Sus scrofa: one gene and its partners. The protein of the gene in region 6 binds, or shares a complex with, the protein of the main gene of each other region. Links are inferred from orthologs where the notes say so. Each region holds a gene or a part of one and is shown on either strand. Other genes may lie near its edges. The genes, in order: DHX16, SNIP1, SCNM1, SNRPD2, SRRM1, GPKOW and SNW1.

What was found.
Region 1: GPKOW (region 6) and DHX16 share a complex: the UniProt entries of both Homo sapiens proteins name them as parts of the minor spliceosome. The link is inferred for Sus scrofa from reciprocal best matches to the Homo sapiens genes GPKOW and DHX16.
Region 2: GPKOW (region 6) and SNIP1 share a complex: the UniProt entries of both Homo sapiens proteins name them as parts of the minor spliceosome. The link is inferred for Sus scrofa from reciprocal best matches to the Homo sapiens genes GPKOW and SNIP1.
Region 3: GPKOW (region 6) and SCNM1 share a complex: the UniProt entries of both Homo sapiens proteins name them as parts of the minor spliceosome. The link is inferred for Sus scrofa from reciprocal best matches to the Homo sapiens genes GPKOW and SCNM1.
Region 4: GPKOW (region 6) and SNRPD2 share a complex: the UniProt entries of both Homo sapiens proteins name them as parts of the minor spliceosome. The link is inferred for Sus scrofa from reciprocal best matches to the Homo sapiens genes GPKOW and SNRPD2.
Region 5: GPKOW (region 6) and SRRM1 share a complex: the UniProt entries of both Homo sapiens proteins name them as parts of the minor spliceosome. The link is inferred for Sus scrofa from reciprocal best matches to the Homo sapiens genes GPKOW and SRRM1.
Region 7: GPKOW (region 6) and SNW1 share a complex: the UniProt entries of both Homo sapiens proteins name them as parts of the minor spliceosome. The link is inferred for Sus scrofa from reciprocal best matches to the Homo sapiens genes GPKOW and SNW1.

What each region holds. Positions count from the first base shown.
Region 1 is NC_010449.5:23,204,989-23,209,262, forward strand, and holds the start of DHX16 (putative pre-mRNA-splicing factor ATP-dependent RNA helicase DHX16), read right to left. Parts: upstream 2,886-4,274; coding exon 2,679-2,885; intron 948-2,678; coding exon 697-947; intron 365-696; coding exon 202-364; intron 1-201. UniProt on the Homo sapiens protein: Required for pre-mRNA splicing as a component of the spliceosome. Contributes to pre-mRNA splicing after spliceosome formation and prior to the first transesterification reaction.
Region 2 is NC_010448.4:93,596,371-93,599,464, reverse strand, and holds the end of SNIP1 (smad nuclear-interacting protein 1), read left to right. Parts: intron 1-904; coding exon 905-1,169; 3' UTR 1,170-2,415; downstream 2,416-3,094. UniProt on the Homo sapiens protein: Required for pre-mRNA splicing as component of the spliceosome. As a component of the minor spliceosome, involved in the splicing of U12-type introns in pre-mRNAs. Down-regulates NF-kappa-B signaling by competing with RELA for CREBBP/EP300 binding.
Region 3 is NC_010446.5:98,079,340-98,083,855, reverse strand, and holds SCNM1 (sodium channel modifier 1), read left to right. Parts: upstream 1-1,481; 5' UTR 1,482-1,600; coding exon 1,601-1,651; intron 1,652-1,918; coding exon 1,919-1,989; intron 1,990-2,229; coding exon 2,230-2,318; intron 2,319-2,415; coding exon 2,416-2,513; intron 2,514-2,621; coding exon 2,622-2,710; intron 2,711-3,374; coding exon 3,375-3,569; intron 3,570-3,817; coding exon 3,818-3,917; 3' UTR 3,918-4,012; downstream 4,013-4,516. Other genes in the region: LYSMD1 (lysM and putative peptidoglycan-binding domain-containing protein 1), read right to left, coding at 530-709. UniProt on the Homo sapiens protein: As a component of the minor spliceosome, involved in the splicing of U12-type introns in pre-mRNAs. Plays a role in the regulation of primary cilia length and Hedgehog signaling.
Region 4 is NC_010448.4:52,035,274-52,039,632, forward strand, and holds the end of SNRPD2 (small nuclear ribonucleoprotein Sm D2), read right to left. Parts: intron 885-4,359; coding exon 710-884; 3' UTR 627-709; downstream 1-626. UniProt on the Homo sapiens protein: Plays a role in pre-mRNA splicing as a core component of the spliceosomal U1, U2, U4 and U5 small nuclear ribonucleoproteins (snRNPs), the building blocks of the spliceosome.
Region 5 is NC_010448.4:82,319,184-82,322,967, reverse strand, and holds part of SRRM1 (serine/arginine repetitive matrix protein 1), read right to left. Parts: intron 3,635-3,784; coding exon 3,440-3,634; intron 3,161-3,439; coding exon 3,041-3,160; intron 986-3,040; coding exon 711-985; intron 1-710. UniProt on the Homo sapiens protein: Part of pre- and post-splicing multiprotein mRNP complexes. As a component of the minor spliceosome, involved in the splicing of U12-type introns in pre-mRNAs. Involved in numerous pre-mRNA processing events.
Region 6 is NC_010461.5:43,188,931-43,193,193, reverse strand, and holds the start of GPKOW (G patch domain and KOW motifs-containing protein), read left to right. Parts: upstream 1-1,355; 5' UTR 1,356-1,414; coding exon 1,415-1,546; intron 1,547-1,619; exon of another isoform or gene 1,620-1,772; intron 1,773-2,267; coding exon 2,268-2,414; intron 2,415-4,263. UniProt on the Homo sapiens protein: RNA-binding protein involved in pre-mRNA splicing. As a component of the minor spliceosome, involved in the splicing of U12-type introns in pre-mRNAs.
Region 7 is NC_010449.5:100,739,334-100,743,117, reverse strand, and holds part of SNW1 (SNW domain-containing protein 1), read left to right. Parts: intron 1-2,673; coding exon 2,674-2,835; intron 2,836-3,784. UniProt on the Homo sapiens protein: Involved in pre-mRNA splicing as component of the spliceosome. As a component of the minor spliceosome, involved in the splicing of U12-type introns in pre-mRNAs.

The DNA of each region.
Region 1 (4,274 bases), on a different chromosome or scaffold from region 6:
CTCAGTCAGGTGTTCTCCAGCACAAAGAAATGTCCCCCCTCACTGAGGACTCTCTGTGGCTACAGGTCCAGCAGAGAGCCTTCTCAGCCGGAAGACGCCACTGGAGGCAGCTCCTGTCTTCCGAAAGGTCACTTTCTGCAATCACACCAAACCTCAGACGCAACTTCCTGGGGATTTATGGAACGTGCTGCTCCTACAAACCTTCTTGTCTGAGCGCTCCAGGACGTTGCGAGTTCGATCCTTGTCCCGCTGCCTAACCCGCTCCGCAAACGCATCCCGTTCCTCCAGGTCCTGAAGGCGCTCTCGCTCTGTCCGCTCCCACTCATCCTCCGACTCTGGCTTCTCCGTCTGTGGTTTATTCCCCCTGCAACCCAGCCCAGAGGATTAGTTAAGGGCATCCCGAGGCCTGCTGTCGCATTATCCACCCGCCCCATCCTCTCACCCCCCACTTTTGGTCTTTTTAGGGCCACCGCACCCATGGCACATGGAAGTTACCAAGCTAAGGGTCCTACACCACGGCATGGCAACTCGGGATCCAAGCCACGTCTGTGACCTACACCACAGCTCACAGCAATGCCAGATCCTCAACCCGCTGATTGAGGCCAGAGATCGAACCCGTGTCTTCATGGATACTAGTCGGGTTGGTTACCACTGAACAAGAATAGGAACTCCTCTCTCACCCTACTTCTGACTTACCCTGTAGTCTTCTTTCCTTTCTCAGGAACTTCTTCCTCCTCTTCTTCCTCCTCTTCCTCCTGACGTTTCTTCCTGAGGTGTTTCCGTTTTTTCCGCTTCTTCTGGAGACTGCTCCCAGCCCTGCCTACAGCCTCCTCACTGCTCTCCTCACTGTCCTCCAGCAACCTGTAGGATCGGTTCTTTTCCAGCAAGGCTCGGGCCTCTCGCTCAGCTGCCCGAGCTGGCTTTTCTGCCACTGCCTTCCGTGGGACCTGTCAGAAGAGGAGAAGACAAGGGGGTGTGGGCAACTCCCGATCCCTGCCTACCTACTCAGCCCTGCTCCTAATTTAAGGAGTAATTTGTTTTTTGTTTTTTTTGGTCTTTTGAGGGCCGCACCTGAGGCATATGGAGGTTCCCAGGCTAGGGGTCCAATCAGAGCTACAGCTGCCGGCCTATACCACAGCCACAGCAACACGGGATCCGAGCCACGTCTATGATCCATACCACAGCTCATGAATCCTTAACCCACTGAGCGAGGTCAGGGTTCGAACCCGCATCCTTGTGGTTGCCAGTCAGAGTCGTTAACCACTGAGCCATGACGGGAACTCCAGGAGTAACTTGATCTTCAACTGGCCTTCATTCTCTCCCTTCCCCAAGACCTTGCACCAGGCCCACCTGCCTGAATGGGACCGCTCAGCTTCTAAACTTCTTTTCAGTAATTCATTTAACAAACATTCATTAAAGCCTGTCCTGTGCACCCACTGCTAGGCATTAGGGATACTGGGATACATTAAGAGAAAAATCCTTATCCTCATGGAGTTTACATTCTCAAACAGTTCTCAACTGTTCTGCCTCCCTTCTTTCCAATGACTAAGTCATTCCCATACAAGGGAGTTCCAGTTGTGGTCAGTGGTTAATGACTCTGACTGGCAACCATGAGGATGCGGGTTCGACCCTGGCCTCGCTCAGCGGGTTAAGGATATGGCGTTGCCTAGAGCTGTGGTGTAGGTTACAGACGTGGCTCAGATCCTGTGCTGCTGTGGCGTAGGCCAGCAGCTGTAGCTACAATTGGATCCCTAGCCTGGGAACCTCCATATGGTGCAGGTGCAGCCCTGAAAAGATGAAAGACAAAAAAAAAAAAAAAAAAAAATGTCATTCCAACACAAGGACTGACAAACTGACAAGGATTGTTTTGCAGAAGCCTGTCACGTGCCTGGCACTGTACCAGACTCCAAGGATACAGTGGTGAACAGATTAACAAAAAGCCCTGACCCTCACATCACAATGTTCTAATTTCATCTCTCACTAAGCACCTTGTAGGACGGATGCATCAGGTTATCTGCCATCCTGTAAACAAGCTCAATACTTTCATTCTTTTTTCTTTTTAGGGGCACACCTGTGGCATGTAAAGTTCCCAGCCGGGCTAGGGTCTAATGGGAGCTATTGCTGCCGGCCTGAACCACAGTCACAGAAAGGGAGGATCTGAGCCGGTGTCTGCTACCTACACAACCCACGGCAACACTGGATCCTTTAACCCACTGAGTGAGGCCAGAGATGGAACCTGTGTCCTATTAGTCGGGTTTGTTACCGCTGAGCCACGACAGGAACTCCCCACACATTTCTTCTATAACCGCACTACTCAAGGTGTGGTCTGTGGACCATCAGCATCACCTGGAAACTTGTTAGATTTCGAAATGAAGAAACGAAGAATCCTTTCCAGACCTACTGAATTAGAAGCAGCATTTTAACAAAAGCTCTAGAGGAATCCTACACCTGTTAAAAGTTTGAGAACACTGCTCTATACCGCTTAACCCAACGTACTTAAGCCGTCCTCAACCCGCAGGCGATAACGGACAAAGGATAAACGCCTGTTAACTGAGTTAACTTAATTCTCCAAACGCGCGTCCAGCCCAGCCTCACTGGGACAAACAACCTGGGGACCCCTTCCCTGCTCCACCCCCTCTCCTATTTCTCCCACGCCGGGGCCCCGCCCCTCTAGGCACCTTGTTCCAGAGTTTCAGGGCGAAGTCCCGGGCTGGCCCGCTGAGGTCCAGGGTATCAGTGTCTCGCAGGCGCTGCACAAACTCTTCCGCAGAGGCGCAGCGCTGTGCGGTACCGATCAGGAACTGGGCCACGTGCCGCTCGCTCAGCCCCAGCACCGAGTGCAGCTCGTCCTGCACCCAGCGCTCCAGCCCAGCCGGCGTCGCCATGGCGACCTATGCTCCTTATTCCTGGCCCTGAAAGTATCTCCAGCAGCCACGCTGGCGACCGGGCGGGTCGGAGGCCTGGAGCCCCGGGCTGGAACCTCTCCTCCCCAAAGAAGCTGCCTTAGCACTTCGGGGTTCGGTTGCTGACAGTCCAAAGCAATCTTCCCGGACCCCGGAGGCCGGAAGTGGTCCACTTTTCCGGCCTAAGCACTACGGTGGCTGAACGGGCCCAAATCTCGCGGAAGTGTACGGGATAAAAGTTTCATTTCCTCCCTTAGTTAATCTCTCTGCCTCCCCCACCACGTTGGTGATTTGTAGGTATTTCATTCAGCAAATGCTAAGATCCTAATATGCGTTAGGTACAGTTTCAGTCCCCGGGGATATAGCAAAAATCAATCCGAAACGAATCCCGTGATGAATTTACAGAGGCTGCGGGGGAGGGGGAAATTTACATGTAAATTAAACATGTAGGAGTTCCCGTGGTGGCGCAGTGGTTAACGAATCCGACTAGGAACCATGAGGTTGCGGGTTCGGTCCCTGCCCTTGCTCAGTGGGTTAACGATCCGGCGTTGCCGTGAGCTGTGGTGTAGGTTGCAGACGCGGCTCGGATCCCGTGTTGTTGTGGCTCTGACGTAGGCCGGTGGCTACAGCTCCAATTCGACCCCTAGCCTGGGAACCTCCATATGCCGCGGGAGCGGCCCAAGAAATAGCAAAAAGACAAAAAAATAAAAAAATAAAATAAACATGTAAATTCTATGAAACCAAAAATAACGCAAGGTTTGTGAGTGTGTGTTTGCGGGAGGGCGGTGAAGTCCATTTCAAATTAGAAGATCGGTCCACTTATTACAGATTCGCCCGTGCTGATTAGGAGTGACCTTTGCTAGGACTGATACTTTCTGCAGAAATGAATATAGGTTAAGCATAAGGCAGGACTCTAGGTAGGAAGAAATTTGGGATCTGAAGGAAAAAACTCAGTGCCTTCTCAGAAAGTTATTTTAGAAGATCTCCAAACTAATGCACAAAATGTATTTTGCTTTTTTTTTCTTTCCTGACAGCTTGAGAGATTGATCAGTGGCTACTTAATTTTTTTTGGCCACGCCCAAGGCATTTGGAAGTTCCCTGTGCCTGGATCTAACCTGCTGCACAGCAGTACAAGGCCAGATCCTCACCCGCTCGAATCAGGGAACTCCACCGTCTGCTTAACTTCATTTTTCATCGATTTTTAGGTCCATACTCGCGGCATATGGAGGTTCCCAGGCTAGGGGTCAATCGGAGCCACAGCTGCCGGCCTGCACCACATCCCCAGCAACGCTGGATCCAAGCCGCGTCGGTGACCTATGCCACAGCTCAGGACAACGCCAAATCCTTAACCCACTGAGCGAGGCCAGGGAT
Region 2 (3,094 bases), on a different chromosome or scaffold from region 6:
GAAGTAAAACTAAGGATGCCTGGCATGTGTTAGCTGAATCTGTATCTTGACAGGTTCCGTAGCACATCTTTTATTGTTGGATGTTCACAACAATCCTGTGGGGAGGCGAGGACAAGTATTAATATCCCATTGGACAGACAAGAAGATATAGCTCAGCAGAGCCGAGTGGCCTGCCTAAAAAATGATCACTATGGTAGAGCTCTGGCTCAAATCAATTTTAATTTGAACAATTTTGATCATTTTATCTGTTCTCTTGACTGTAAAGTCCAAGTCCATCATTGGTTTGTTCCCATTAGGACAGAGGCTAAAATACGGTGAAATATAAGTGAAAGAAGTATTATATGGCTTCTAAACAAATGTATTTCTTAAGCATGGCAAGAGGCCTTAGATTCCCCCCTCCTCACCCCAAAGGGCTGCACCTGTCGCATATGGAGGTTCCCAGGCTAGGCGTTGAATCAGAGCTACAGCTGCTGGCCTGCGCCACAGCCACAGCAACGAGAGATCTGAGCTACGTCTGCACCCTATACCACAACTCACGGCAACGCCAGATCCCCGACCCACTGAATGAGACCAGGGATGGAACCCACATCCTCATGGATACTAGTCGGATTTGGTTCCAGTGTGCCACCACGGGAACTCCAAGGCCTTAGATTCTTCTAAGGTTTTGATCAGCCATGAATTCCTCCACCTAGTGACCGTTTATCACCGCATTTCTACTAAGCATATTTAACTCGCTCCCAATTTCCAAATCCATGGCCATACCTTCTCCTTGATTTCCTAGCATTTGAACTTGAACTGTGTTCAAGCCAGGTTATTTACATCATCATCTAAGCTATGTTAGCCAAGAGTTGGATGATATGAGGCAGGATTTCACTCACAGGTTTCTCTCCTTTATCTCTGTTAGGCTTGTGGAATATACCCGTGCTGATGGGACAGTTGGCCGCAGGGTGAAGCCCTACATCATTGACCTCGGCTCAGGCAATGGAACGTTCCTGAACAACAAGCGAATTGAGCCTCAGAGATACTACGAACTGAAGGAAAAGGATGTCCTTAAATTCGGGTTCAGCAGCAGAGAGTATGTCCTGCTTCATGAGTCCTCTGACACATCTGAAGTAGACAGGAAAGAAGATGAGGATGACGAGGAGGAGGAGGAAGTGTCTGACAGCTAGCAAACTAAGAAACAACCCAAACTCCCGAGAGACCTGTTCTTTCTTCAGAGGCTTTGGGATTGACTCTTAAGGGCACTGCCGTGCGCTCTGTAATGCCTCTTATTGCCTTAAGTCTTTCCTCTGTTGCTGACCAGCTTACGTTAGTTACAGTTTAAGAAAACTGATTTCTGTTTGGTTGAACTCTTTTCTGTGGCACATCAACCGCATGCCTGTGGGCGTTTGTTTTCCGAACAGTCTCACCAACACATCCCGTTTTAGTAGAAACATTGTGGCTTTAGTTGGTGCTTTCAGAACTGCTGTCTAGGAAACTATAAACCCTTCCTCAAAGGGGAACTGTGGCTTGTTCTCTTTGTACAGTTACTTTATTTATATAGTTGTTAAGCTGTGTGGACTGGGTTGGTTTTTGTTTGGGGGGCAAACCCCTGAACAGAGAATCTTACTAAGCTTTGGTTATTACCAAAACAGCCTCTAGACTATATACCAAAGCTTTGACCTGGTTGAGCTCTTGAGTCATGGAAATTGATTTTGCACTTCATCTGGGGGGGGGGCGTGGTTTACCACATGACCTCACTATTGACTATTGGACTTAAAGAGATGCTTTATGGAGCCTGCTTAAGCATATGACTGTACAGGAAGATCATGGCCACTGCCGGTAGATGCTGATGACACGTCATGAGAGGCTGAAATGGGTCATGGATCTGTGAGAGAGCTCTGATTTCTCCTTGGAGCATGTTCATAACAGTTTTGATCATCTTATCTGTTCTTCAACTTTGCATTTTTATTTTGATTTTATCTCCATTCTTCTCTGAGAAACACACTGTCATTTATGTGGCAGGGTCCTTGCTTTATTCTAACAACATACATATGTCTAAAGGAGGTTGTGTGGTTCACATGTTTCATCTTTTTAAAAAGACGTTCAGAGAGGTGGTATTTACCTTCCCAAGGCTGGAAAGCATGGGGAATTGCCCGACTTCCTAATTCTCTACCAGAGGAATATGTGTAAGTAGAAAAGTCATTAACTACTTACATCTATTGTGTGTGTGTGTGTGTGTGTGTGTGTATATATATGTACATATTTAAGAAATTGTGTGTGAAAGAGCGGCATACTGATTTTCATGAGAATGTTTTGGGATGTAAATGTAATACTACATTATAGGCAAAGGCCTCCCTGCATTTGAAGAGCAGGTTTTCATTTATATATGTATTTTTGGAATAAAAAATAATAAAATTTGTAAATATAACCTCATTTCGATGTGTACTTCTTGCCTAGCATGGAGGTATGTTTGCTGCAAAAGAAATCTTTGTTACCAGTGTTTTGTTTTTTTTCTGCCTTTTCTAGGGCTGCACCCTCGGCACATGGAGGTTCCCAGGCCAGGGGTCTAATGGGAGTTGTAGCCACCAGCCCATGCCACAGCCACAGCAGCGCCAGATCCAAGCTGCGTCTGCGACCTACACCACAGCTCACAGCAACACCAGATCCCCAACCCACCGAGAGAGGCCAGGGATTGAACCCGCAACCTCATCGTTCCTAGTCGGATTCCTTAATCACTGAGCCACGATGGGAACTCCTATATCAGTATTTTTGAGTAAAAGGAGACAGTTGTGGAGGGTGTCACAGGGATATTGAACCCACACCAGCGTAGGAACCCAGATCTTCAAATCTCAGCGAGTGAATGATGGTCCTGCTGAAGCAGCCATGTTTTCTGAGTTAGCAGTGAAGGGGTTTTCCTTCCCAGAGTAGTCGGGTTATACTCGGTGGGCTTCATACCAGTTGACCCCAGTCCCTGCTTGTGCACCCTCAGCTGGTGATGGGGAGGAAGGAGAGATGATCCAACTGAGGGCTGCTGCTAACTCTTCCTCTTGGGTTGAAACTAATGTCATTATTAGATGGTCTTCCTTACCTTTTTTTTTTTTTTTTTTTTTGT
Region 3 (4,516 bases), on a different chromosome or scaffold from region 6:
GTTGAGGGTCTGGTGGCATCACTGCTGTGTCTCTGTTGTGGTGAGGGTTCAATACCTAGCCCAGGAACTTCCTGGCCAATCCCTGGCCAAAACAAAATAAAACAAAAGGGTATGGGCTTTGGAGTAAGATAGATTTGTTTGAATATTCACTCCAGCACTTACTAGTTATTTGACCTTGGTCAAATTGGTTAACCAATCTAAGTCTCAGTTTCTTCACCTATAAAAAGGGTATAATAATTGTATGCTTGATAGGGATGTGACGATCAGATGCGCTAATGGATGTAAAGTCTTTAGTATAGTGACTGGTATAATAAATAAGAGCTGCTCACCTCCACCGGGATATTGAGACAGGATTTGTCTCAACCAGACAGTGCAACACGAGATGGGACCCTTGTCAATTAATTTATCACAATTAACTAATTTAGACACAATTAGGAAAATTTCAGGTGAAGTTGCCCAGAGGGCCACTATATCCTCATGAGGAATAAATCTTTTCTGAGTGTCTGCGTCCCAATCCTGGAAGACTCACCGTCACCCCGTATTTGAGTGCTAGTCCAGCCAGGGTGTCTCCGGGCGCCAACTGATGCTCCAGGCGTCTTTCCCTCACCGGGGAGCAGGCAGACTGCACAAGGCTTCCATAAGAACGAGCCCGGCTCCCTTGAAGCAGTCCTGACCCCCCGAGGGGGGCCTGTCTAGAGGGAGAGGCCATCTCCTCACCCTGCGGACAACTGGAGTTGCAACTGCGGGAGGCCCGGCCAAGTGACCGATAGTGACAGGCCCGGGGTCTGGGAATGAAAATCTGGAGGATTCCTTTCCCTTTCTGTGTTCTCTCCTAAGTCTCTCCGCCTTCCCCCCACTAGGCGACCTCTGACTCCTGGCTTCCCCGCCTTCCAAGGCCTTTTCCCACAAACCTGTAACCTGACTGTTCAGTCCCTACCTGAGTTTCTCCTTAGTACCCCTCCGACTTTCGATCCCCCACAACTCGCGACATTGACCTCTGACCTTTGACCACTAGACACCCTCCTCTACACTACAGAGTTTGCCCCCAGGTCGGTCCGCCAGACCTCCCAGCCCCCAACCCCGATTCCGCGCGTCCCGGGCTTGGTCGCTAGGGTCGGGAACTAATCAGGCCCACTCCAGGTGGGCTGTGGCCTCAGGCGAAGGGCGTGATGACCGCGAGAATCTGTAGCACACTTTCCCCTGAGAGATCCTCAAAGGTACGCTCCGCATCAAATCAGTCACACTCTCAAACTCGGGATCCACAGCTAGGTTCCTCTTTCTCCAAACGCCTCTAATCTGCCAAGATGCAAGGGCCTGAATCGGGCAGGGCGGCAAGCTCTTTGAAAAAAGACTTCATTTCCCAAAAGGCTCCGCGCCGGCGGGGTCGCAGAGCACCATAGGAAATGCAGTCCCCTCTATGGGCTAGAGGCGGGTTTTCGGGATCGCGCGGCGCATGCGTGGAAGCGCATCCCGGAAGTAAGGGGGCCAACCGGAAAGAGACAGGAAAGAAAGGAGACGTCCCACTCTTGCTACGGTGGCCTGAAAGGAGTGGCGAACGCGGCGCGATAAAACTTATATTTCTGGGGCTCTCACAGTCGTGATGTCTTTCAAGAGGGAAGGGGACGATTGGAGTCAACTCAATGTGCTCAAAGTAAGCGCGAGAGGAGAGCATCTGGAGCAGCTTCAGTTGCCGTCTGAAGGCTGTGAGGGAGCTGTTTTGTTGCTGTGGCAACAACTCGGGGGAGGGGGGCGGAGGAAGCCAGACGATTGGAACTGGGCCGACACCCCTTCTTCAGCCCAGATCTCTACCCTTCTTGTGGCCTTTATTCCCTTTGAGTCCTCGTCCTTGTCATTTCCTTTTTGTTCCTCCCTCATATCCAGCTGACCCCGTCCTCATTTCTTCCCTTGTTCCCTGCAGAAACGGAGAGTCGGGGACCTGCTGGCGAGTTACATCCCAGAGGATGAGGCGTTGATGCTACGGGATGGACGGTGAGGACTAGGAGTGGATCAAGCCTGGGGGTTCTGCGGTTAGAGGCTCAACAAACTTTTGTTATTAAGCAGATTGGAAAGAACAAGGAATCTTTGGCGGGGAGTGAGTAACAGGGATGTTGGTGGTGGAGACTGGGAGACTTGGGATTTGGGCTTTGGAAAGGAGTTCTAGGCTGTGGTGGAACCTATGGCAGAGACTCCACTCCCCAGGAACCAATTATCTTCTCTCCTCCTCTCTAGCTTTGCTTGTGCCATCTGTCCTCACCGACCGGTACTGGACACCCTGGCCATGTTGACTGCCCACCGTGCAGGCAAGAAACATCTGTCCAGTAAGTTTGTGGGAAGACAGAGCATAGAGAATAAACCCTTAAAGGGTTTATTCACTCTGGGTGCCCTCCTTTTAATTCTCTTTCCCTTTCTCCTGAGGCCTGCAGCTTTTCTATGGCAAGAAGCACCCAGGAAAGGGCCTGGAGCCAAATCCAAGACAACAGAATGAATTGAGGAGAGAAGAGACCAAAGCAGAGGTAATCAGAGAGGGGAGGGTGTGTTCCAGGCTGCACACCTTAGGCTTGAAGGCTCTGGATTCTTTCTAGCTCTGAAGGTTCTGACTTTGTCTCCCATCTCCATGCCAGGCTCCTCTGTTAACCCAGACTCGACTTATTACCCAGAGTGCTCTGCACAGAGCTCCTCACTATAACAGTTGCTGCCGCCGAAAGAACAGGTCTGTGGGGTGGGTAATCCAGAAGTAGGGAGGAACAGGAGATCGATCGCTCTAAAGTACTGTTTTCCAAATTGGATTCTGAGGAATACTAGTGTTCTGGAAATGCTAACTTGAATTTCAGGAAAAAAGAATTTTGTTTGGGAAATAGGATTTTGTAATCCTGTTTGACGCATAGTAATATTACGAGTTCCCATCATGGCTCAGCGGTGAACAAACCCGACCAGCATCCATGAAGATGAGGGTTTGATCCCTGGCCTTGCTTGGTGGGTTAAGGATCCAGTGTTGCTGTGAGCTGTGGTGTAGGTTGCAGACACAGCTCGGATCCCATGTTACTGTGGCTGTGGTAAGGGCTGGCAGCTGTAGCTTGCATTCACCCCTAGCCTGGGAGCCTCCATATGCCACAGTGCAGCGCTAAAAAGACCAAAAAAAAGAATAGTAACAGTATATTTTCAGGGTTCTACACAGTCTTAAAAAAAAAAAAGCTGAAAAAACTAACTTAGGCTTTCCTTAAGTTCATTTGATTCCAAAATCCTTTTTATGCAGAACACCTGTTAATATCTTGAGGAATACAGTTTAGGAAGCACTGCTTTAAGGGGTTGGGAGTTACAGGAGATTTGGTCCTTTCCTTTACTGCTTTTACAGACTTTGATTCTTCTCTACCCAGACCAGAAGCCCCTCGTCCCTCTGTCTCTCGTTCCGCTTTTTCACCCCCAGAGGTTGAATCCCAAAGTGAGAGGATCAGTAGGGAACTTGAGCCTGCGGCTGCATCACAAACCAAGGAATCAGCCACTGTCTCATCCCCTGCACCTATGAGCCCCACAAGAAGACGGGCTCTGGATCATTATCTCACCCTTCGAAGGTGAGTGTACGGAATCACTTTCCTCAGATTGTCCCTTTTCTCTCTGGCTCTCCTTTTTTCAAACCTCAAATATTACTTATCCCTACTAGCTTTTGGGGGGGGCGGGAGGCCATGCCCACAGCATGCAGAAGTGTGCCACAGCAGTGACAATGCAGATCTATAAACTACCGAGCTACCAGGGAACTCCGCTACTAAATTCTTAACACATTTCCTTTCCTGATCGATTCTGTTTGTTCTGATATTTCCAGTTCTGGATGGATCCCAGATGGACAAGGTCGATGGATAAAAGATGAGAATGTTGAGTTTGATTCTGATGAAGAGGAACCCCCTGATCTCCCCTTGGACTGACACTCTTTCCCCATTCAGTTCACAAATAAACTATAGTGGGCGCTGGGAGCCTGACTTTCCTTGAGTCTGGTTCCTTGTCTCATTTCAGGATTTCAGGTCTGTTCGTTCTCAGCCTGGCCAATATTTCCCTGCAATGTACACAGCTCCCCATACTTCTAGCCCCTCCCCCCACTTCTACCAAAGTCATGCCAAGCGTCAGCTGCATGCAGCCCGGTGCCCTAAAATAAGTCTGTCAGAAGGAGGTCTTTGCCCTTCATGTTGTCTGACTTCTTCCCCACCTCCACTCAGAGTCTTTTCCTCCTTCAAATGACATGAAGTTTTTGGGTAGGCACTGGGTGGGGTGGGGGTGGGAGCTGGACAGGTCTGGAAACAGGGCCAGGGCTTAGCCACCCTGTGAGAGCAGAAGGGACTGAAGGCATTGGCCAGGTTATGGGGGACACCAAGGGAGAGAGCTCCCCCCACCTCCTCCTGGTAACTTGACCCTCCCTGCCTGCTGATCCCTAGAGTATAAATAATCCCCTGATGAACTGGCAGTAACCCTGAGGGGTTAGCGCCAAGATTTCCACCCCAAAGCCCAAGGAAGGAGGCAGGCAGAGTGG
Region 4 (4,359 bases), on a different chromosome or scaffold from region 6:
TGACGGCAGCAGAGTTCAGGGGTTTGGCCACAGTCTCAGGAGCAGGGTGGGTCTCCATCACAGCATCACCACTCTGGCTGGACAGCCCTGGCCAGGTGCCATCACCTCTCCGAGCCTCAGTCCCAGCCTCTGGAGCTGGAGGTGACAAACCACAGTGCCTGCTCAGAGCCCGGAGCCCTCACAGCTCAGCAGGTGTCAGCCTGGGGTACTGACCGCTTTAACCATGCAGCTCCCCTCCTGTCAGGCGGGCAGGCTGGGGCTCTTCTGGGCACAGCGGTGTCTACAACATTGCAGCACAGAGCTGGGCACAGAGGAGACACTTGGGGGATCGTTTGACTAAAGAAATGAAGAAAAACAAAAAAGACTGAAAGAAACTTAAGAGTGAAACCAACTTACTGAAAGAGAAGTAGGGAGAAGGGAGACAGAGAAAACGATGAGTAGCTGGAAGAAATTAAGCAGAAAAGACAGCAAAATCTCTCTCTGCTCAACCCATTCCCCTCACGGATGGGGCAAGTCAGGCCTCTTCACGGTTCAGGGAGGACCCCTCCCCAGGGCTCAGCCTCATGGCCAGCTGCCCCCTCCCCGGCTCAGCCCCACTTTTTAGGCCCCAGGAACAGACAGATGCCTCTAGAAAAAACGCAGGACTTTATTATTCCCATCACGAAGGGCAGGTCTTCACGAAGGAGGGAGCAGGAGGGCGGGCGGGCGCCTACTTGCCGGCGATGAGCGGGTTCCGCAGGACCACGATGACCGAGTCCCCGCGCAGGAACATCTTGGAGATGTAGCGGTCCTTGTTGACGGGCTTGGACTTCTTCTTGCCCTTGCCGCTCTTGGGGACCTCAGTCCACATCTCCTTCACGTTCTCCAGCACCATGTTGCAGTGCCTGGCGGGGAGGGAGCATCGGGAGTGAGCGGGACCCTGACCGCCCCTCCTCCAGCAGCGCAGGCCCGGGACCAGGCTGGCCGGCTTCCAAGGCCTCCTCTGTGAGTCCCTCGGCCCTCTGTGCCTCAGTTTCCTCCTCTCTAAAACAGGGATGCTCACAAGGAGATCCTGCTGAATAGCACTGAGAACTTTGTCTAGATACTCATGTTGCAACAGAAGAAAGGGTGGGGGAAAAAATGTAATTGTGATGTATACATGTAAGGATAACCTGACCCCCTTTCTGTACAGTGGGAAAATAAAAAAAATTATTAAAAAAAAAAAATAAGGAGTGCCCGTCGTAGCGCAGTGGTTAACGAATCTGACTAGGAACCATGAGGTTGCGGGTTTGGTCCCTGCCCTTGCTCAGTGGGTCAACGATCCGGCGTTGCCGTGAGCTGTGGTGTAGGTTGCAGACGCGGCTCGGATCCCGCGTTGCTGTGGCTCTGGCATAGGCCGGTGGCTACAGCTCCGATTGGACCCCTAGCCTGGGAATCTCCATATGCCACGGAAGCGGCCCAAGAAATAGCAAAAAAGACCAAAATAAATAAATAAATAAATAAATAAAAAATAAAATAAAATGGAAGAATATGCAAATAAATAAATAAATAAATAAATAAATAAAACAGGGATGCTCAGAGTTCCTGCTGTGGTGCAACGGGGTCAGGGGCATCTCTGCAGTGTCCTGCAGGACACAGGTCTGATTCCTGACCCGGCATAGCGGGTCAAAGGATCTGCTGGCGCAGCAGCAGCACCGACCTCGCAACTGCAGAACTGTGGCTCAGATCAGATCCCTGGCACTGGCCGCAGGGAGGGAAGAAGGGAGGGAGGGAGAAAAGACAGGAAAGGAGAGGAGAGCAAGAGGGAGATGTTCACAGAGCCCACCTCCTCGGGCTGTTGTGAAGAATAAATGAATCGATACGGTATTCCCATCAAGCACTCAGAACAGGGCCAGGCACAGGATAAATGGTTTTGCTTGTGCTTTTTAACTCTGAGCACTTCTGAAGGCATCAGCAAAGGAACAGCTTCTCTTTGGAGAACCAGCAGTCCCTGGTGGCCTGACGGGGTACGTGATGCCTCTGCTCCAGTTCTGCTCTGTCCCTGTCCTCAGGGTGCCGGGGGCGGGGTGGGCGGGACACGTGATTCAGCTCACTCAACAGAGAGACAGACACTCTAGTGACTGACGGGGGAAGAACACTCAGCAGGTAAACAAGACACCTGAAATCTACTGGCAGGTGGTGTCAGTGCTATGAAGAAAAATTCAAGCAAAGTAAAGGGACAGGAGGTTACAGGGAGGTATCATCCCGCCTGAGAAAGGAGACCCCTGAGGAAGCCCCGTCCTCGCTGTGGCGTGACCTTGAGCACATAGCATTGGGCGGGAAAAGCAAGGAAGGGAACAGTATGCACAGAAAGCCATCTTCTGAAACAACGAAAACACTTTCTGTAGGAAGACGGGAGTAGGAAAAGCAAATACTCCACCAGGTGTCCAATACAGAATCCTTTTTCAGAAAGGATTTCTTTCTTCTTTCTTTCTTCTTTTTTAGGGTCACACCCATGGCACATGGAAGTTCCCAGGCTAGAGGTCTAATCGGAGCTGTAGCTGCCAGCCTACGCCACATCCACAGCAACGCCTCTGCAACCCACACCACAGCTCACAAGATCCTTAACCCACCAAGCAAGGCCAGGGATCAAACCTGCATCGTCATGGATGCTAGTCAGATTTGTTAACCACTGAGCCACCAGGGGAACTCCCAATATAGAACCCTTGAAAGCCACCTAGAGCCTGGTGACCGTGGGTGACCTAGACAAACTGGGGAGAAATTGGATGGAAACTTTTTTTTTTTTGTCTTTTTGCCATTTCTTGGGCCGCTCCCACGGCATATGGACGTTCCCAGGCTAGGGGTTGAATCGGAGTTGTAGCCACCAGCCTACACCAGAGCCACAGCAACGCAGGATCCGAGCCACGTCTGCGACCTACACCACAGCTCACGGCAACGCCGGATCCTTAACCCACTGAGCAAGGGCAGGGATCGAACCCGCAACCTCACGGTTCTTAGTCGGATTCGTTAACCACTGCGGCACGACGGGAACTTCCTGGAAACTTTTTTTTTATTTTGTCTTTTTAGGGCCACACCTGAGGCATATGGAGATTCCCAGGCTAGGGGTCGAATCAGAGCTGTAGCCGCTGGGCTATGCCACAGCCACAGATCTGAGCCACGTCTGCGACCTACATCACAGCTCAGGGCAACGCCGGATCCCCGACCCACTGAGCAAGGCCAGGAATTGAACCCGCATCCTCGTGGATACTAGACAGATTCCTTTCCACTGCGCCACAACAGTAACTCCACTACTAGGCCTCTTTAAGACTTTCCAAGTTTTTTTTGTTTGTTTGTTTGTTTGTGTTTTTTTGTCTTTTTGCCATTTCTTGGGCCGCTCCCGCGGCATATGGAGGTTCCCAGGCTAGGGGTCCAATCGGAGCTGTAGCCGCCAGCCTATGCCAGAGCCACAGCAACACAGGATCCGAGCCGCGTCTGCAACCTACACACAGCTCACGGCAATGCCGGATCGTAAACCCACTGAGCAAGGGCAGGGACCGAACCGGCAACGTCATGGTTCCTAGTCAGACTCGTTAACCACTGCGCTACAACGGGAACTCCTCCAAGTTTTTTGTGTGTGTGTGTCTTTTTGTCTTTTCTAGAGTCGCACCTGCGGTATATGGAGGTTCCCAGGCTAGGGGTCTAATCGGAGCTGCAGCTTCCAGCCCACACCACAGCCATAGCAACGCCAGATCCAGGCCGCATCTGCGACCTACACCACAGCTCACGGCAATGCTGGATCCTTAACCCACTGAGCAAGGCCAGGGATCAAATCCGCAACCTCATGGTTCCTAGTCGGACTCATTAACCACTGCGCTGCGACAGGAACTCCAAGACTTTCTAAGCATTAACTCATCAATCCTCACAGCATCTCACCCCCAGGAGGCACACATTGGAGTTCCTTCCAGCTTCCAGAGCAGGAAACTGAGAAGAGCGGGATGAAGCCACTCACCCAAGGTCAGACAGTTTGGAAGAGGCAGAGCCTGAGTTCGAATCCAGGTCTATCTGCCTCCTTGGGCTCGGCACTTCCTATCGTTCTCGTTCTCACTTTACTCAAGAGTAAATTGAGGCTCAGAGTGAAAGCTTTGTTCTTGGTCCCACAGTAGCCATTGGCAAAAGCAATCCAGAGGTAAGCTTCACCCCCCTGCCGAGAGGAAAGCACTTCCCTGATGCTGAGGACTGCCAATGGTTTTTTGCTGTTGTTGTTATTTTGGTTTTTTTGTCTTTTTCGGGCAGCATCTGTGGCATATGAAAGTTCCAGACTAGGGGTTGAATCGGAGCTGTAACCACTGGCCTACACCACAGCCGCAGCAACCCCAGATCCAAGCCACTTCTGTGACCTAC
Region 5 (3,784 bases), on a different chromosome or scaffold from region 6:
TGTTTATAATTCCAGCCCTAAGCACCAGAGGCTCAATTCAAATGGCCACCATAGTTTTTCTCTCTGTGATTTAATGCTGAAGAAACAAGCCCCAATAGACCACAACCTTCACTCAGACTAACTTGGCATTCTACTTGCTTGGTTACCTGGCAGGATCACAGATCATAAATTCCTCAAAAGTCAATTTGCAGAATAAAGCAAGGACAACACTCAAAAGGACCCTGCCTAGAGCCTAAATTAAAAAGCAGAAATCAGCTTTTAGGAGGACACCATGTCCAGCCCTGGGGAGTACAATGTGGCCAAGAAAGAATTAAAACAAAATATGAAGTCCTCAATTAAGGTATCAAACAAAAAATCTTCTGGGTTAAAAAAAAAAAAAAAAGTTAACTGGTCTCATAATAATAAAATGTTCCCTTACCATGACAACACAAACTTCAGTTAAGTTACCTCAACTCAAACAGCCCACGCCTGGTAATAGCACATCTCTCCACCTACTCAACGCCGAGGGCATGCTAAGAGCAAAACGCTTTACCATGTAGACTCCATTAACAAACCCCAAGAACTTACAGCACGAAAGAAAAGGTGAGCTTCTCAGCAAATTTATAAAAACATCACATACGAATATTACCCAGCTACTTCATACTTTGACAACAATGACGACTAGGTATTTTGTAGCCAAATGAACAAAGAAAGAACATATTGATTTTTACCTTTACCTGAAGTCCTCCCTGGAGAGACAGAAACACGACTCTTCCTTGTACGATTTGACTGCTGGGGTGTTGGGGAATGACGAGTTTTTGGTGGTGGAGTTGCTGGAGGTGAGGGCCTATGCCTTCGCCTTGGAGGACTTGCTGAAGGAGATAGCCTACGAGTTTTTCGAGGGGGGCTGGATGTCCTCTTTGGAGCCTTCTTTGGCGGTGACCGGGAACGAGACGAAGATGATGATGAGCTACTTCCAGACAAGGATGCTGATGAACGCCTTCTTCTGTGGAATAAAGTGCTCATATTCATTAACTGCATACGTACCGAGAACGACCTTACAGGAATGTACAGTTTACACAAAAATACAGCTATTTGTATCCAACTTTTGAGTTTATGTAGCTAAGCACATTAATTTTTTAAAGGGAAACAACACCATAACCTAGGCAGGAAACAGCTAGTTCTGAGACTAACTACAAATAACTTATTCTGATAAATGCTTCTGTTTGATTTTTATTTCCAGCTATAAAATATGTCCAGTGCTACAATATAATAACTAGCCAGTCTCTTCCTTCCTTGGAATAATGAGTGTTTTGGAGTTTGCATATAAAATTTGGATGGCAAAGTATTTTTTCACTCAATAATAAAATGTCAACCTTTAGGCTGCATTTTTAAAAAAAAAGATGTGCAGGATTAGGAATTCATTTAGCTACATAAACTTAGAAGCAGGGGCCTCTCGAATTCTGCGGCAAAATTTGTGGTAAGTTCTGTGCAATTATGTGTACCTGCAGAATTCACCTTTGGCGGAAGAATTCCTGAGAACCTGAAAAAAAGAAACCCTACCTTAAGTGTGAGATAAAAACTGGCTGAAAGGGAATCTTACACAATCTGCAAATTATTTGACTGCTAAATGGCTCAGTAAGCAATTAAAACACACTTTTTGCAAAACTCCAATGTAAGAAATAGCTGTTTCCACTAATCTTCTACTAGAAAGCAGTAGCTCTACTTTTCTAAGGAACAATCATTTTTAGAAAAGTATGACGCCTAAACTGGCTGACCATTTACATCCTTAGTCTTATTTATTTATCAATGGTAACATCAATTCCGTAATTTTTAGCAGTAGTTATAAAAAATGGTTCAATAAACTCGAAAACCAAAAACTCTGTCCTAAGTATAATCTGAAGTATAATTATCAGGTCCTTCCAAAAACAGGTGAAATGTATTGTCAAGAAAGCACAAAACTAGAGTTCTCGCCATGGCACAGTGGGTTAAGAATCTGGCATTGCTGCAACTGCACATAGGTTGCAGCTATGGCTAGGATTCAGTCCCTGGCTCAGGAACTTCCACATGCCTTGGGTGCAGCCATAATTTTTTTTTTTTAATTTAAAAATTAAAAAAAATTTAAAAGGTACAAAGCTCTGCTACCAGTACACCATGCCTCCACTTTGGGCAGATGTAACAATTTTTCTATTACAAGTGATAGATTATGCTAATTTATTCATTTATTGATTTTTCTTTTTAGGGCCACAACTGTAGCACGTGAAAGTTCCTGGGCTAGGGGTCAAATCAGAGCTGCAGCTGCCAGCCTACACCACAGCCACAGCAACACCAGAACCAAGCCACATCTGCGACCTATGCCACAGCTTGCAGTGATGCTGAATCCTTTAACCCACTGAGCGAGGCTAGGAATGGAACCTGCATCCTCATGGATACTAGTTGGGTTCCTAACCACTAAGCCACAACAGCAACTTCCACCTTATGCTAATTTAAAAATGATTTTTAAAAAGGAACACTGGTATTGACAGGGTTACTTTTATGCGGCCTCTTCAAATTGCTAACAATAGTTATATCTATGGAATGGGACTGGGTAACTCTAAGTTCGTTTTACTTGTTTTAACTGTTTATAATAACTGCTCACTACTTCTTAAATATGAAAAAAATCTTTAAGAGTATAAATCAAGTGAATTATTTTAATACTGGTAGAGCAATCAACTGGCTCTGCAGTCATCTATATTTAGAAGCTAATGGTTAAAACCCAAAGAAAGGGTAAGGCAGCCAATTCCCTTACTTGATAGGATTTCTTGGTAGCATCTGAAAAGATCAAGGTTAACACAGATAACAAGTATCAATAAGATAGTGAATTTGTTTTTAATTTTCCAAATCTGGATTAGTGTTGCTTAGCATTGCACAAGTAACAGCACTACAACCTCAAATGAGGATGATCTTTATAAGACATTGCTTAATACCACTCATGACTTCTTTTTTCCCAGGATGACACTAATTCAAAGATTAGCCTAAAACAAATATATGGTCACTTCCAAAACAAAAAACCACCTCTCACCGTCTCACTGGAGATCTACTCCTTCTATGCCTTGGTGGAGGAGGCATTCGTCTCGGTGGAGTTCTTCTTCGAGGAGATGGCCGTCTTCTTGGGCTTGGCCGCCTTCTAGGGGAGTATGATCTACCATAACAAACAGAATTAGAATCTGAATAAATCTTGAGCAAGAACAAACACCTTGACATAGTTTTCTTGACAACTACATCCAAAAAACGGTTTTCAAGGGATATGAGTGTGTAGATTTTTACAGACCATACAAAGTGCCCTCAAATTCTCTCTAAATTCAAAGTTTAACATTTGTGCAAAATTTTTCTACTGCTTTGAAATAATTTACCCAATTCTATCTAGGAGAGTTAGCACATAAAATTTAAGATCTAGGCAGATATTACAGCCATTACCCACCTTGATCGGGATCTATGGCGCCTTCTAGGTCGAGTATGAGAAGGAGAGCGAGAACGTGTCCGGGATCTTGACTTGGAACGTGACCGAGATCTTGGTCTGGTCTTCTCCTTTTCCTTTTCCTTTTTGGAATTCTTCTCTGGAGAAGGTTCTTTAGGCTCTGGTACAGGTTCAGGCTTGGGAACTTTCAGGATGTCACTGTGGGGGGAAAAAAAGCTTACTTTCCCCCTCTTCTCAGAATCCCAAGTCATAATACAATGATACAAAAAGTTTATCTTTCTTTGGTTTTCAAAATTCATGAAGATGTCTAGAAAGATATATACACATCAGTAAAATTCAGTGAACAAC
Region 6 (4,263 bases):
TCCATCTTGGGAACATTCAGGGGTGGGGCCCTTAAAAAATAAAATAAGTAAAATAAATTTCATATGGAAATGCAAAGAAGAAAACTATGTTGTAAAAGAAGACAGTGAAGAGTAATTAAAATACCTGACTTCAATATATACTATAGAGCCACAGTAATCATGACAGTGTAATAATCATAGAGGCTGTGAAGGGTCTGCTAGGAAGAGGGAAGAGCATGGGCAAAGGCAGGGAGGTGGAATGACAGTGGGCATAGCTGGGGAACTTCGAAAGCCCCATGGGGTCACAAGAACAGGGCAGAGCAGTGAAGGGGGTCCAGTGTGTCCCCCTCAGACAAGGGCAGGTCCGAGATGGGAGGCGCATGGGGTCGAAGGAAGAATGAAAGCAGGGACCATTCAGCCATGTCACCGACAAGGACCGCCAGGACCCTGAAAGGAGGGAGCGAGAGGTGGCCCAGCCAGCCAGGATGGACACCAGGACACAGTGTGCCCGTCCACAGCCCATGGTGACATAGTAACTGGGCCAAGGGACTGTCGGGGGTGAAGGGCCTGAGACCCACACTGCCCTTGGCTGAGGAGGGGCCCTGGGTCCCTCCCGCCCTCAGCTTCTTCCTCCACAAAGTGGTGGCCACAGGCCTTCTCTCCCTGCTCCCCATTCCTCCTTCCTGCTTCCACTACAGGACCACTGTGCCCAAGCATTCCCCCCTCGGGGCCTTTGTCTCCAGAGCCCCTCACCCCCACCCCCTTTCAGACCTAGGACGGGCCTCCTCTCTCCCCTCTCATTGCCTGGGGTCCCCTCCACCCACGTGCCTTGAAAGCCTCCTCGAGTCCAGCCCCCTACTGTCCCTCCACTCTCCAGGAGACCCACCCTTCCCTACCTTTGGAATCCCCCAACCCTATCATGCTCAGGGCCCTGACGCCTCCCTCCCGTGGCCCCCCAAGCCTCCGAGGTCACCCTCCCCCCCAGCCCCACATTCCCCGCCAATTTACTGAGTGCCTACGATGTGCAAAGCTCTGCTGGAGGCTGCAGAATACCCTGGGTAACGTGGGTTCGGGGTCCGCATCCAGTTTCCAGTTGTCAGAGCGCAGGAGGGGCCCTGAACGTCTCTGGGCCTCGACGTCCCCCTCTCCCACGTGGAATGACGACATCCCCGGGGTGGAAAAGAGGTTTCCCACGGTGCTGGGAAAGAGAGGCAGCGCCTGCGGCAGAGCGAGGCCAAGGGCTCGCGCGGGCTCCCTCCCTGGGCCAGGCCTCCTTGCGGGCCGCCAGGTAGGTCACCGCGCTGCTTGGGGCGCCTGAGCACGGGACCGGCCGGCCTCAGCCGCGTCCAGGCCCGGGCAGGCGGCCAGGTGAGCTCGCCCAGGCGCTCCCAACACGCCACTGGCGTCCGTGCGTCCAGCGGGCCGAGCACAGGTCATGGAGCCGCGCGCGGGGGGCGCCACAGACCCTAGGGGGAGCGGAGGAGGTACGGGGCGAACGGGAGCGAGTGGACGCGTCCCTGCCAGCCCTCGCCCCGCCTGTCTGCTCGTCACCTTTTCCTTCTGGCAGGTGGTAAACAAGGCAGCCCTGGCGCCCAAGGGGCGGCGGCGGCCGTGGCGGCGGCGGCGGCGATAGAGGGCAGGGCCCCAGCGACCCGGGCTGGGCTCTGGGCCCCCTACCCGCACCCGCGCTGCGAAGCGGTGCACCAGACCCGGGGGCTCTCAGGAGGGTCCGGGGAGAGGTGCAGGAGGGGGTCTGCCCGGGGTCACTGGACACACCTGGGCACTCGGGCAGGGTCTGTGGTGGCCTCCGGGGGTTAGGCAGGGCCCTGCGAGGATATGGGAAGGGGCAATCCGGGGCTACGTGGGCCGGCAGGGGTACCTAGGCTATCTAGAGGGGAACCGGGGGTGCCGGGGCCACAGGGGCCGGACCGTGTTCTGTCGGGACCTCTGGGAGAGTCGGGATCCTTCTCGATGCTGGCGGGGAAGAGTTTGGGATCTGGGATTCTGGCGGCAGTTGGGGGAGGGGGCAGTAGGACACCTCCAGAGATGCCCACAGGGTGTTCGGAGGGGTCCGGGAATACTGGGGTTAAACAGCTAAGTCCAGAGATATCTTGGGGGCAGGCGGGGTCCACGGGCAAGCGAGGGACAGTCGGTGACCTTCGCAACTGTGGAAGAGTGGTCCCGGGTCTCCGGGATCTTGATGGCCACTCTAGGTCTTCGGTCATCGGGGGGCGTGGGGGCTCGCTGAGACTGAAGGTGGGCGTTGATCTGCCCTTTCCGTTCGCCAGGCGGTGGCCTTCCTCCGCGCGCGGGCCCCAGCGCCCGGGAGCGGCTGGCGCGGCTGGACGCGCGCCCCCTGGCGGCCCGAGCTGCGGCGGACGTGGCGGCGCTGGTACGCAGGGCGGGCGCCACTTTGCGCCTGCGCCCCAAGGAGGGTGCGTGACAGGGGCGGGGCGTCCAGAGGGCGTGGTCGGAGCGGAGCCGGGTTCTGGGGGGGCGGGCCTGGGATTGTTAGTTACTGCCCTGGGTGGGGCCAGCGAGTGAGTGTGAGTTGGGAGGACGAGGCTCGGCGGTGTTGAGGGGTCTGGGATTTAGCCTATAATATTCCTCTGGGAGGTGACACAGAGGACGGCTATTGGATCTGGCGTTGCTGTGGCTGTAGGGTAGACCCGCAGTTGTAGCTCCGATTTGACCCCTAATCTGGGAACTTCCATATGCCTCCGGTGCGGCCTTAAAAAGCTAAATAAATAAATAGAGAATATTATTAATTTCCCAGATATCCCCTACCTACACTTCAAACTGATTTTTCTTTTCCACCTTTTTTTTTTTTTTCTTTTACGGCCACACCCAGGGCATATGGTATGGAGGTTTCCAGGCTAGGGGTAGAATCAGAGCTGTAGCTGCTGGCCTATGCCACAGCCACAGCAACGCCAGATAGGAGCCGCATCTGCGACCTACACCACAGCTCATGGCAACGCTGGATCCTTAACCCACTGAGCAAGGCTAGGGATGGAACCTGTGTCCTCATGGATGTTAGTCAGATTCATTTCCACCAAGCCAGGATGGGAACTCCTGATTTTTCTATTTAATGAAATATTGTAACTATTGTTCCCTGTTGAGCCATGAAGAATTTTAAAACATCTGTAATCAAAGTATAACAGTTCCCTCGTGGCTCAAGGTACCTGACTGGTATCCATGAGGATGTGGGTTCGATCCCTGGCCTCGCTCACTGGGTTAAGGATCCGGAGTTGTTGTGAGCTCTGGTGCAGGTCACAGCCGTGGCTGGCATCCTGGGTTGCTGTGGCTGTGGCATAGGCCGGCAGCTTCAGGTCCAGTTCGACCCCTAGCCTAGGAACTTCCATATGCCGTGAGTGCAGCCCTAAAAAAAAAACCAAAAACACCCAAAGTATAACTAACATTCACTCATTATCATACAGAACATCCTGCCCCAATTTTCCATTCTTTCCTTCAGATCCATTCTTTGAAATGGAGTTATCGCATCAGGGAAGAGATATATATTATTATACTGCCCCCGATAAACTTTCAGTCAATTTATGCCCTTATCAGCAGTGTATGAGTGTGCCCATTTTTTTCTTATTCTTTTTCTTTTGGGGCTGCACTGGCAGCATGAGGAAATTCCCAGGACAGGGACTGAACCCAAAGTATAGCAGCGACCCAAGCTGGTGCAGTGACAACACCAGATCTTTAACCTGCTCGGCAGCAGGACAATTCCCCCATTTTCTTCCATCTTTAATAACTTTGGGCATCATCCATAGTACTTACTATTTTAGATCTCGGCCCAGTTAGGCTCTCTGGACCAAAGTTCTCTTATCTGTAAAATGGATTTTAAAATAGCCCCTACCTGCAGTTCCCATCCTGGTGCAGCGGTAATGAATCCGACTAGGAACGATGAGGTTGCGGGTTCAATCCCTGGCCTCCCTCAGTGGGTTAAGGTTCCAGCGTTGCTGTGAGCTATGGTGTAGGTCGCAGACATGGCTCTGATCTGGCGTTGCTGTGGCTGTGGTGTAGGCCAGCAGCTGTAGCTCCGATTGGACCCCTAGCCTTGGAACCTCCATGTGCGGCGGGTGCAGCCCTCAAAGGACAAAAGACAAAAAAAAAAAATAGTTCCTACCTTACAGAATCCTTTGGAGAACGAAAGGAATGCTTAGATGTGCAACTGGCATAGAGAACATACCATAGAAGTGTTTGCACTTTTTTGCTTGGGGTCTTTACCCATGAGTTAAATGAAGAACATTTCATTATTTATTTATTTGCATTGCTTTC
Region 7 (3,784 bases), on a different chromosome or scaffold from region 6:
ACATAAATTTCATTCTTACTTGCATTTCAACATCAGGACAACATTCAGGTGCTATTACCTTTTAAAATTTTACTTGACAAAGTTATTTCATGTATCCTGGTGGAGCAGAATAGTTTATTTGAAAATCAAACCAGAATGACCAGCTAATAGAAATACTGTGGAGTTCCCATGTGGCTCAGTGGGTTAAGGATCTGCCGTTGTCACTCCAGTGGCTCAGGTCACTGTTCTGACACAGGTTCAGTCTGGTGGCCCAGGACCTTGCACATGCTCTGAATGTGGCAAAAAAAAAAAGAAAAAACACTGTGAATGCTTCTTGAGGGGAGCAAATGTTCTTGGAAGAAAGCATTTTGTTCTAGTTTTCAAAGTAAAAGCTATGATTTTCTGGCAAGCTTAATGATTACCTAATGCAACAACTACAGTCCTGAAGTGCTTATTTTAGTTGAAGAACTCTAGCAAATCTGAGCATGTGTCAGAATGATGGCCCAGAGTACAGATAGCACCTTTCTTGGGAACGTTTTAACTATTTTCTGCCTAATTTACAAGAAAATGTCTCCTTTAGCTTTATTGTTTAGTTAAAAAAAAAGGCAAACCTTTCTCTAGCAAGTAAGCATTTTGTACCTAGAAAGTCATATATCCAGGGTCTGATGGAATATTTCTTGAAGAAAGAGGTAATATAAAAGTGGCTATTTTCATAATTTTTTTCATCAAACCCCTGCCAAATGATTGATATTAATATATTTTTCCTGTCGTATTTCAGTTTAGCAGAAAATTCAGAGATTTTTTTTGAAGTCAAATGATCTGGGTCAGGGAGTTCCCTGGCGGTCTAGTGACTCAGACTCGATGCTTTCACTGCTGGGGGGGAAAAAAAAAGATCTGGGTTCAAGTCCTGCATAACTACCATAAAACCTGGGAAAAATATCATTTTTAACTTAGTTTATCTAAAGTTGAATTTTTTCCATAGGAAATATGAGGCTTTTAAGAATTATAAGACAATATGTGTGGATTATATTTTGTACATTATAATAAGGTACTAAGCAAATATTAAATCTAACAAAAGTATTTAATGTTTGGTATTCATGTATTAATTTGATGACATACTTTTTTGTATTATTAAACTTCATCAACAGACTTTACTTAGCTTGTTTTACTTTAGAAATCTTTTTTTTTTTTTTTTTGTCTTTTTGCCATTTCTAGGGCTGCTCCCGTGGCACATGGAGGTTCCCAGGCTAGGGGTCTAATGGGAGCTGTAACTGCCGGCCTACACCAGAGCCACAGCAAGGCAGGATCTGAGCCATGTCTGCGACGTGTACCACGGCTCACAGCAACACCAGACCCTTAACCCACTGAGCAAAGCCAGGGATCGAACCCGTAACCTACTGGTTCCTAGTCAGATTTGTTAACCACTGAGCCATGACAGGAACTCCTTACTTTAGAAGTCTTAATTCTCTCTTCTAAACCATTGTATATAATCATCATTAGAAATGTGGTGAACTCATTTCCTATTTATCCGCTTCTCATGGAACACTGAATAAATAGTACATTATTAAAATCTGAAGAAGAAATATAATTCTTTACATTTCTGCTCTAACTATAGCTTGACTTCTATAGTGAGTTCTTCACAAAGAAAATTATGTATGCTAAAACAAAATCTTTTTCTTATGCTAAACAATTTGCCTAATTTCTTCCTGCCATGTACATAAAATCCATATCCTTGCCGTGGTTTAGGATCCCTTTCCTGATCTGGTGTTTGTCTGCTCATGCAGCTGTATCACCTATGTGTCTGCTCCTCTGCCCTCAGTAAGCTACAGCCCCACTGGACATTCTTCCTAGAACATGCCAACCTCATTCTTTTTTTTTTTTTGGGGGGGGGTTTGTCTTTTGTCTTTGTTGTTGTTGTTGCTGTTGCTATTTCTTGGGCCGCTCCCGCAGCATATGGAGGTTCCCAGGCTAGGGGTTGAATCGGAGCTGTAGCCACCGGGGCCTACGCCAGAGCCACAGCAACGCGGGATCCGAGCCGCGTCTGCAACCTACACCACAGCTCACGGCAACAACGCCGGATCGTCAACCCACTGAGCGAGGTCAGGGATCGAACCTGCAACCTCATGGTTCCTAGTCGGATTCATTAACCACTGCGCCACGACGGGAACTCCAACCTCATTCTTGCAGCAGAACCTTCTCACTTGCTGTTTGAATCTGCCTAGTAAATGCTTCCCGCAGATCCTCCCATGACTGATTTCTCATCATTCAGGCTTCAGTTCATGTTACCTCTTCACAAAGACTATCTCAACCACACTATTGAAAATAGCCCCTCTTCCTAGTCCCTTTCTTGCTTTCAAGGTGTTTATTACAAGCCAAAAATTATGCTTTTTATGTTTTTTCCTACGGAAATGTACACTCCACAAGATCAGGAACTTCTGTTTTGTTTACTGCTGTATCTCTAGCGTCTAGCATAATAAGGGCTAATAATTATTTGTTGAATGAATGAGTATATGTTGAATCTCAAATTACTATTAAATATTCTTTTTTGGCCACATCCACGGCATGTGGACATTCCTTGGCCAGGGATCAAACCCAAACCATAGCAGTAACACCACCAGATCCTTAACCCTCTATGCCACCAGGGACCTCTTCAAATTATTATTAAATAAATTCTTATTTCTTTTTAACATATAGGATTTTGGAGATGGAGGTGCTTTCCCAGAGATCCATGTGGCCCAGTATCCTCTGGATATGGGACGAAAGAAAAAAATGTCAAATGCACTGGCCATTCAGGTGGATGCTGAAGGAAAAATTAAGTATGATGCAATTGCTCGACAAGGACAGTCAAAAGACAAGGTAACCCTCTTACTAATTTTTTTTTCTCCATTGATAAATACTGTACGAGGAGTTTTTTTAATTGTGTGAAAATGATAAATCTCTGGTCATTTAGTTTATGTTAAAAATAACAGTGAAGCATACTTAGGCTAATTAAAAGTGACTTCATAATAGCAATGACTTTTTCCTTCGAAATTCCCCAAATTGATAATAGCTTATATATACTTAGGGTTTGTATGTATTTGTTTTACATTTTTAAAATAATTCTTTTTTTCTTCCAGTTTTATTGAGATATAATTGATGTACAGCACTGTATATTAAAAACAATTCTTTTCTAGTACTAACTTTTTTAAATGCTAGCAAATTTTTAAAATCCTAGCACCCTAAAAATGTCAAAATTTAGTTTTGTCTATAGTTTCTTCTGTTTCTCTTCCATGGACTCATAAAGTACATAGATGCTTAATTATTTTAATGGTTCGTTTGAATATAATCATACAAACTTCTTTCTCACTTAAGCACAAAACTAACACATGCTGGTTTTAGCATGGGCCTGCTTACAAAGTAATCCAAAGACCAAAAATAAAGTTTTACTTAAAATTATCTCATCACAGGGCAGCCACACTCAGAGCAAAGGAACTCTGCTTTAAGATCGAGTTTTTTTCTTATAAATAAATACTCCAAATAGAGGTTTAAAAAAAAATCTTTTTAGAATTGAAGATATTGGGGAAAGTACTTAATCATCAGAACCTGTCCTTTGTCTCTTCTCTTTCTCTGAAACATTTTCATTTTACCCTCTAAGACAGCAGTAATGATAAACCATCCTTTGCTCCTATGTCATGGCTGTTGAGCTTTGGGGGGAAACAATTAGGCAGTCATACAAATTTATATCTCAGGTTTCAGCTGGTCCCTCTTGGTAGGGAGCTTTAACTCCTGCTCTTTTCCATCCCCTCATTTTGGAAAGCGACTCCCC